2 linked regions of the Oryzias latipes genome follow. The protein of the gene in region 2 interacts with the protein of the main gene of each other region in a pairwise test. Links are inferred from orthologs where the notes say so. Each region holds a gene or a part of one and is shown on either strand. Other genes may lie near its edges. The genes, in order: ncf2 and kifap3.

Region 1 (4,482 bases), on a different chromosome or scaffold from region 2:
GGTCCATTTTGCTAGCTTAAGTTAGTTAGCCACTTTTTGAGCTAACTGGTGCAAAACACGGTCACAAAAAAGCTTTCCCGAGCAAACTAGCTACACAATTATAGCTGCTCTTCATCTATGCAGTTGTGTCATGCACATGACGTTCCCAAGTCGTAGCTGCATAGTTCCCTCTAAGTTTCCCTACGTATCCAAAAGGTTCGTTGTTAGAAAAAGTAGCCAAGCCATGTTTGTTTAGTAGCGACGGCAGTATCAAGCTAACTATTCTAACGGAAATACGTCACTTTCTACAATTTTATTTTTATTAAATAAAAGCCTTTCCCTTTTCCCCCTCCAATTAAAATTGATGAATAACAAGATTTAAATCCCGGAACAACAACTCAAATTATAACAAAATTATACAAGTACATAGCAGGTGATAAAACATTAACAAAAGAAGGGAAAAGGCCAAATAAAGTGCATTCTTTAGGCTTTTCCATTAGGTTTAATTTTTTATAACCACTTCAATAATTTCACTGCGTTTTCTTTTGTTTGTTTTTTTGCTTATTTTTATTTATTTTTTACTTCTCACAAACAATTGAACTCCTTCTGATAAAATAGTCTGGATTACAAATTAAAAATCTATTTTAGTAAATAAAATATATTCCAAAAATTGTGAAGTTTCGTATCATTTCGTAATAACCAATCGATACATTTTCTAACTTTATGGCTTAGCTATTTTATATCTTATCTAATTTTACATCTTAGCTTTTGAAATAAAAGTGTTTGTTCCAACAGATGTAGAAATTGGATTTTAATGGAATGGAAGAAGTATTTACTATTTACTACATACTAAAGAAAATGCATTTAATTAATTCAAGATAAGTACCAGAAAGTATATTTTTGTCTCGCTAAAAGGTTGGGGAAATAAGAAAAATTTTAAAGAGTGTTGGCCAACAATTCAACAATTTTAAGGACAAGAGAAAAAAAATCAAAACTCTAAAATAATTTATTTTCTTATAACTTTGTTAATGTTTACACTAATCTATATAACTTAAAGAAAAAGTCTATTAAAACCTGAGATGTAACCTTTTTTTTTTGTTTGTTTTTTCATTCTATTTTGTTTTGCAGACTGTAATGCCAGATTTAAGCCTCAAACTTTGCTAAATAATGTTAAAATAATGTTTTAATTACTCATAAGTTTTCATTTATCTCTTAAGGCACATAAAATAAAAGAATAAATTTAAAAAACATTGAGGTAATAAAATAACCTGTTCTTTTGTTTTGGCTAAATATATGGGTTCACACAATTTTTATTAATTCATTTTTAATCAGTGAAGTTTTGGAAAATCTTAACTTAAGGTAGACTTTGTGATGAGTAAATGAAAAAAAATGAAAAAAATACGGTATTGCTAATACAAATCCATGTAAATCATAAAATTAACCAAAGATAATGATGAGGTGGGGAGTACTACTATTGCACTTTACTTCATTATTTACTCTTAAAATACTACAGTAAATATTTAAACACCCATAATTTTTTCAGATCAACGATTCACAGATCAAACCACGATTCTTACTATATTGACTTGGACTCAAGAGCACATGGCGTTGATGCAAATTCATTGAACGTTGTCATCAACTTCCTGTTTTTCATGGCATAAATCAGAGAAACTTCCTCAATTCAGTCACTGTGTCTCAGCGGCAGCCAAAATGTCTTTTGTGGACACTCTGCGACAGTGGGATGACGGCGTAACCTGTGCTGACAAACAGGATTTTTCGGAAGCTCTCCGGATTCTCTTGGCCATTCCTGAGCCAAACTCCAAGATTTGTTTCAACATCGGCTGTCTGCATCTGCTTAACCAGAACTTGGATGATGCTGAAAAGGTAAAGTCAAGCATTTCTCAACTATTAATTTGCTCCTAAAATAGAAAACTAGAAATCTGAAAACATCAGTTATCTGGATGCAACCGGTGAGGCAGAGATTGAATTCGATTGTAGTGTAAGTGCGAGTCGCAGTGAAACAAGAAGTGGTGCTGAAAGCGTTTTTGTAAAGGAAGTTGCTGCTGTTTCATAGGCGTTCGATTGCAGCATTCGCAAGGATGAGCATTTGGCAGTGGCTTTCTTTCAAAGAGGAATCACCTTTTATAAGAAGATGAGGTAAGACACACCGGCTTTTTACAAACAACGACCAATTTCCTTCCATTTCATTCCAAATTCAGAACACCTGTTAAGTATTTGCACCTAAACCACAAGTTTTCACTGATTTGTTATGCAATTTATTTGATCACACATCTGTAAAGGTACGAAGAGAGCATTGGTGACTTCCAGAGAGCCTTCAAAACGCTAAGAGGAAACAACCTGATCGATTACAAGGCCCTTGGTCTCAGATATATTCTATATGCATGTGAGGTAGGTGTTTTCAACCTTAGGCACAATCTACTACATCATCACTAAATCATAACACCTTCCAATTCTGCTGTTTGCATGAGAAAAGCTCTAAATAAAATCTCTCCTTTCAAAGGTTCTCCACAACATGGCCCTGGCTGAGGCTCAGCTGGGAAACTGGGAAAAGGCTGAGCAAAACCTCAGGAAGGCGCTTGACTACAAAACAGACGCCAAGCTCAGTGTCATCGAAAAAGCTCAGCAGGCAGTCCTGGTTAGCATTGATCTGATGAAAAACGAGGGTTTCTCTTAAAGTGCCCAATTTACATGGAGGGGGGGGGATCTAAAAAGTAATTTTAACAGTCGACTGGGATAGGCTCCAGCAGCCCTGTGACCCCTATAAGGGATTCAGCAGGAATATAAATAAATATTTTAAAATGTTAATCCACACATTTAAAAACTATTAAACAAAACACATCTGCAGTTTCATCTCTGCTAAGGATCTCGTCAGAGTAAATAATGTCTTTATTTGTCCAGTAAGTTCAGGTCCAACCGTGCCTCCATGGAAAGTTTAGGGACAGAATGCGGTTTTGAAATGTCAGATTTAGGACATCTTTTTGATGCGATTTCATTGACAGAAGGAGAAGCTGTTCAAACTAGTGGAGTTCCCATCAAAAATGATGTTTAAACCAAATAAACATTACGTTGCAGAGCTGGAGAAGAAAGACTACCTGGGCAAAGCCAAAGTAAGAATAAATCTTTTTCATTGAAATAAATCATCTTACATGATTTGGGAAATCTTGAGGGTGAACTTAACAATCTGTGTATTGTTTGTTTGATGATCAGGTTGTTGCCTCTGTCAATCCACAAGACGATTTTTCTGGATTTGCTCCTCTGCAGCCACAGGTGACGGAGATTCGTATTTTTCGTTGCTAAATGCTGTGATGAGGCAACAAAAAATTCTGAAAAATTGTGAAATGTCCACGCAACCTTCCAGCTTGAAAATGAGCCTTAGAAGCATGCGATGTTTGTTTCTCCCTCCTACATTTTTTATTGACACTAAGCTAAAAGCAGTGACAAGTGTAGTACAACTTGTCGGGATCGAAAAAGTATCCATTCATCCATCCGTCCGTATCTCAATCACTTTTCAGAATAACCTGTAAGCAGAAAGTCAGCACATCTGCTATTCAAGCTGTTTAAAAGACAGAGAAGGTCACAAGTCCCTTTTTTCCAAGTCCAAATCAACTCTGAAGTCTCAAGTCTGTCATTTCAAGTCTCAAATTTGAATTTTAATGAAGAGTCTACTAACACAAATTGTCATCACATTTTTGTGGACATTAAAACAGACAGTTTATGTTTCGGCAAAGCTTCTTAAAGATAATTTTTTAACAAACATTATTTATTCACAAGTCCCAAACCTGGAGGTTAAATTCAAATATTTGCATGTGAGACTTTGGTCCAAGTCAAGTCCAAGTCACAAATACAAGTCCCTATCTGTCATTCCATCAGAACCAGAACATCAGGAGGTTGAGTCATGGTTTAAACACAGTCAGTAAACAAAATCTTATTTGTGGCAGGCTGTTGTGAAAAAATTCTTGAATCTTTGGATGTGCATTTAAACATTGCCCATGTATAAAAGATTTTATGCCTTTTAATTTTATATTTAATTTGAAATTAGGATTACCTTTTGTGAGTTTTGTGTGTACATCCCGTATACTAGACAGGACTGGGGAAAACACTGGAGCCCTCAAGAACCAGTATGACTCAGTAAATCAGGGACTGACTGGATAATCTCCTTCTTAATCACTAAACAGGTTGAAGATGGTCCACTTTCTCCAAGAGAACCAGAAGTTTTAAGGTACATCCCAAGTTTTTTTAAAAATCTATCAAGTAGAAATTGATAAAATGTTTTTTAATATCTTTTTGCTGAATGTCTTTGTCCTTTCGTGTAAAAGGGTTTTCTAATTTTCATCAAATTAAACGTCATCTTCCTTCAATGACAAAAAGACACGTGTGTTACGATACCCTTTGTGTGTCTATTCTTCATAGAGCCTTGGAAGGTGAACCCCACACTGTACTGTTTGAGTTTGTTCCTGAAACCTGCGACGAGCTGGCCGTGAA
Region 2 (4,381 bases):
CTAAAAGCATCTCCTAGAACGTGCTCGGCCTAAATGTCTGACCTTTACCCTCCACCGGGGAGGACTTTCTGTTCTGCAGGTAGTAGAGGAGCTGCTCCACTTGTGGCAAACGGGAGGCAGGGAGGAGTTTGCACTCCTCCACCACTTTCTTAGCCAACGCTGCCACATCTGTGGTAGGAGAGAGGCTCTTCAAACGGATTCTAAATGGAGAGAAGGGCAAACATTGAAGCATCACAAATAACTGACTCCATCTATTATTTCCATTTGGAGAATGTAGAGGCTGATGCATTTAGAAGTAGCTAATTTTTCATTGTTAATCATTGCAAAAATGTATAACAATGCTAATCCAGTTTTGGTGGATACAACTTTTAAACAAATCCAAACTAACTTAACAAGTTAATCAATCCGTTTGATTTAAATATAGGAAAGATAACAAGAAACATACATTTTTTGTCCTTCTTTGCGTTCACCAAGCACAGGACCTCCACCACCTCCTAAGACAGCAGCCTGAACCTCGTAGTGAACAACCAGAGCCTTCTCTGTGGGATGGACATCCAGACTCCCTAACGTCACTTTGCTGGGGATCAAAATTGAACAAATATGAGGTCAAAATGTTAACAGTCTAAAATGTCTTGTGAAAAAAACAAACACATAATTATAATCTTTAATGACAGAGAACAAATAAACTCATCATCCTCTCCCTCCCTCTCACTCATGGTGCAGAGACTTAACCATAGTAGGACATAATAACTAGGCAAAACACAGTAAAACAGCTAAACAAATAAACAGCCTTGGTCAAAAACCCACACTTAAAACCAAATCCGTCCAGACAGGCAAAGGAAATGGTATCCCACAATCCCTTGCGGTGCCGCTCTAACAGCAGCATCAAAGTTACATCTACTTAATTGAATTAAATTGAATGAAAGTAAAATAAAAGTCTGATAACTACGTGTTATTTTTAAGCAGCCTTAACTAAAAAAAAGATTTATCTTAACTGAAGCAAATAATTAAGTTAGATCAATGTAAAAAAGTTTATCTTTCCTTTTTTATTAATTTCATTTCATTGTTTTTTTTCCAGTCTTGGATTGTTATTTTATTGCTATTTTTTATTATTGCTGCTTTCTTGCACTGTCATGCTAGTGAGAAACAACATCTCGTCTCATCTGTGTATTTCTCTGCAAATACTATATGTGGAATGACAATAAAACAAATCATGAATCTTGAACATCCATACATGGTCTTATCGCCCTCTCATGGTGGAAAAAGTATTATCTGAGCTTCTTCATCCACTAAATCATCTTCAAATGGACTCGCCATGCTCCTTCACCTCTCTGAAAACAAAGTAACCTTCAACTAAACCAGCTCCAGACCAGGTTATGTTCAGAGCAAGAGTTGCTATGGCAACTTGACATACCCTGAAACATACCTCCATTTTTGGAACTGAAAGATGAGGTTATCCGCTTCCTTAGCCTCAAACTTACCGTGGTAACTCGCATAACCTGCTTTCTGGAATGCCCCCCTTCACTGCTCAGTACCAGGTGCTTCTCTCTGAGTCACACTGGTTGAAATGTTAGCTGAAGATGTTCTGGATTGATTTTAGGTCAGTGAATAACATTGAATCAAATTGTTCAAAATGAAGCCAAATTGAAATCGATTGGCAAAAATACCGAATCGAATTGTTCAAATGAATCGTTACACCCCTAGTAGGTAGAGAGCCCTGCGAACAGAAACACAAACCGGGCGGGGTGAGTGTGGTAGTAGTGGATGGATCCACTGCAGTTCCACTGCAGGGAGACTGAAGGGAGATGGTTCCAAATGATCATTGAAAAAAGACTTGAACCATTAGCATGCCACCTTGATCCATCGCTCGGCCAACAGGAAAGTTGCTGACCCCAGCTGGGCAGTGATACTTTCCAGACCCAATTATCCAAAACTCCAATGTTTTACTTTGTGTTTCCTGTGGAACCACTGTTTCATGTGGCTGTTGCTGTTCCACTTTGGCAGTGGGGATAGCAGGACGGGCCATGATACCACGGCCTGGGTCTTATTTTGTATCTGCAAAGCCATGTGTCGTTATTTACTGCCCCTCCCAATATGATGATGTCAATCTTGTCGTACATTGCTGGACAACGGGAAAAGGATGGCCTATTGGAATCTCCATCGTCGACGTGTATCACAAACACTCGCGGACGCTGACTGTCTTATGACTGAAAACCAACAACCAGCTGTTGAAGCAGTAAAACAATACATATTATCTGTTGCCGTTTAAACTAGTCTCTCCATGTTTAGCTCATTAGCTAGGCTAGCAACCCCCTGATTTCCCATAAGCCCCTTCATTAAAAAAAAAAACCCTCAGGTAACAATTTAACATGCGTTTTGTTGTTGTTTTGTGCAAAGCAGCGACAGTCATCTTTAATTGCGAGATGTGGTGTACATTTAACAAAAAGAAAGCAAATAAATAACAGCACGCCTTTCTCTCCGTACCCATTAAGCAAAATATAAACGTGTTTGCTAGGCTATAGTCTTTCGTGAAGTGACGACTCTTGCGAATTACAAAAAACAAATACTTGCTGATATAATTAATCAATCACTTTTTCATTTAAATATTACAGAGCTCGTCTTCTTTCTTCTAGGCCTTGGTCGATGATCGATCGACAAAAAATAACTCATTCATTCTAACTCACCGTTTGAGGCAGCGCGTGTCTTCCTGCATTTTCTTGTAAATGTTAATTTACCCTTTTATTATTTCTATAGTTGTATCACATCTGATTGAGCTTACTCCGAAATCACAGCGGTTGCCCGTCACAGACTGTCAATGATAGCGGCAGTTAATACAATAATACAAAGCTAGAGGGTTAGCCGTCGGTGGGCAAATGGTGCCCTGAGTTATAACTTACAGGGGGAATGTAGACCCTAAGTAATGACTTTAAGGCAACATTTCAAATCCAAATCCTCACAGCTGGAAAAGAAATACGATCAGAAGCAGAAAGTAATGTGTAATAATACAATTTACACATACAATTGTATAGGGCACAGTTTAATGTCCACAACACAACTTGAGTCAGTAAAGGAGAGCTTTTTAAAATAATTCGAGCCGCTGTCGCAAATTTAATTGTAAGATACAATACTTTGTTCAGTCTCATTAAATCCCCCCTATATGTTATACTGTGCTTTGATAGATAGATAGATAGATAGATAGATAGATAGATAGATAGATAGATAGATAGATAGATAGATAGATAGATAGATAGATAGATAGATAGATAGATAGATAGATAGATAGATAGATAGATAGATAGATAGATAGATAGATAGATAGATAGATAGATAGATCTTTATCATTAATTGTCATACCTTAAAAACAACCCATGGTAAAGACCTACCACTTAAAATAAAAAGTAAAACATAGAAGTACATTGGGCAGTGCTTAAAACTTGAAATTAAACCAATTTGTTGCTTTATATGGACTACTGCTAAAAAAAAACATGATAGTCAATATGTGTTAAACTCAGATAATAATAATAATAATAATAATAATAATAATGAAGAAGAAAATGTCCGTTGTATCACAATTTAGCGGAAGTCCAGCTTAAATGTTTCCTAGCCACATTTAACATTTTTATGGATTATGTAAAAACTGTATTAGAGTCTTTTTGTCCTTACTCTGCTTGACCCATATATTTTTGGCACAAACAGAACTTAATATGTCTGGGGTGTGATGTGTCTCTAAAGATATTCTGCGCTCTGTTGAGGCAGCTGGAGCTGTGGAGAGTTTCCAGGTGGGGAGAGAGCAGTCAACAATCTTTTGGGCGGTGCTGATGACCGTTGGAGAGCTTTTCTTTGAGCCCCTGTGCAGCTGCTGAACCAAGTGCACATGTTCCAACCAAGTTCCTCCTTTTGTTCCAGATATACCACAAGCTCCTAAAGTGACAGTGACCTGAGGCTGTGGAGTCACAAGTGGCTCTTTAAAGCCTCTATTGTGGCTCTTTGGTTGAAGAAAAATAAAACTATTTTAATTTTAAAAAGGAATATACTTTTCAGACTATAAGACTCATTAAGCTAAACTAAACATGCAGACAAGTCCCACTTGATTGTTATAGGGCTTTTTGTCCTTTTAGCGAGCACCGATTAATGATTTGACTAGTTTTGGTATGAAAAAGTGAGAAAAAAGACAAAAAGAATCATCCCTCCACACAATGCCACACAGAAAGACAGACAAAGAAACTCTGGTCAAGACAATTTATTGGTGAGCTATGATATGACTTTAAAGCAGTGTTTTCATACAGGCTGCCCCACACTTGAGGATTTACTCCTAGTTGCCCCTAAATACAACTGCTGTCCAGCATGTTCTGTTGGATGTTAACTATTCTGTACTTTGACT

What was found.
Region 1: the proteins of kifap3 (region 2) and ncf2 interact in binary tests that used the Homo sapiens proteins (3 or more experiments, as listed by UniProt). The two-hybrid records come from large-scale screens. The link is inferred for Oryzias latipes from reciprocal best matches to the Homo sapiens genes KIFAP3 and NCF2.

The regions. Positions count from the first base shown.
Region 1 is NC_019878.2:10,710,468-10,714,949, reverse strand, and holds the start of ncf2 (neutrophil cytosol factor 2), read left to right. Parts: upstream 1-1,459; 5' UTR 1,460-1,689; coding exon 1,690-1,863; intron 1,864-2,053; coding exon 2,054-2,136; intron 2,137-2,279; coding exon 2,280-2,388; intron 2,389-2,500; coding exon 2,501-2,635; intron 2,636-2,999; coding exon 3,000-3,107; intron 3,108-3,207; coding exon 3,208-3,267; intron 3,268-4,175; coding exon 4,176-4,219; intron 4,220-4,410; coding exon 4,411-4,482. Other genes in the region: garem1 (GRB2-associated and regulator of MAPK protein 1), read right to left, coding at 1-7. UniProt on the Homo sapiens protein: Subunit of the phagocyte NADPH oxidase complex that mediates the transfer of electrons from cytosolic NADPH to O2 to produce the superoxide anion (O2(-)).
Region 2 is NC_019875.2:21,195,229-21,199,609, forward strand, and holds the start of kifap3 (kinesin-associated protein 3), read right to left. Parts: upstream 2,879-4,381; 5' UTR 2,714-2,878; coding exon 2,685-2,713; intron 578-2,684; coding exon 446-577; intron 201-445; coding exon 43-200; intron 1-42. UniProt on the Homo sapiens protein: Involved in tethering the chromosomes to the spindle pole and in chromosome movement. Binds to the tail domain of the KIF3A/KIF3B heterodimer to form a heterotrimeric KIF3 complex and may regulate the membrane binding of this complex.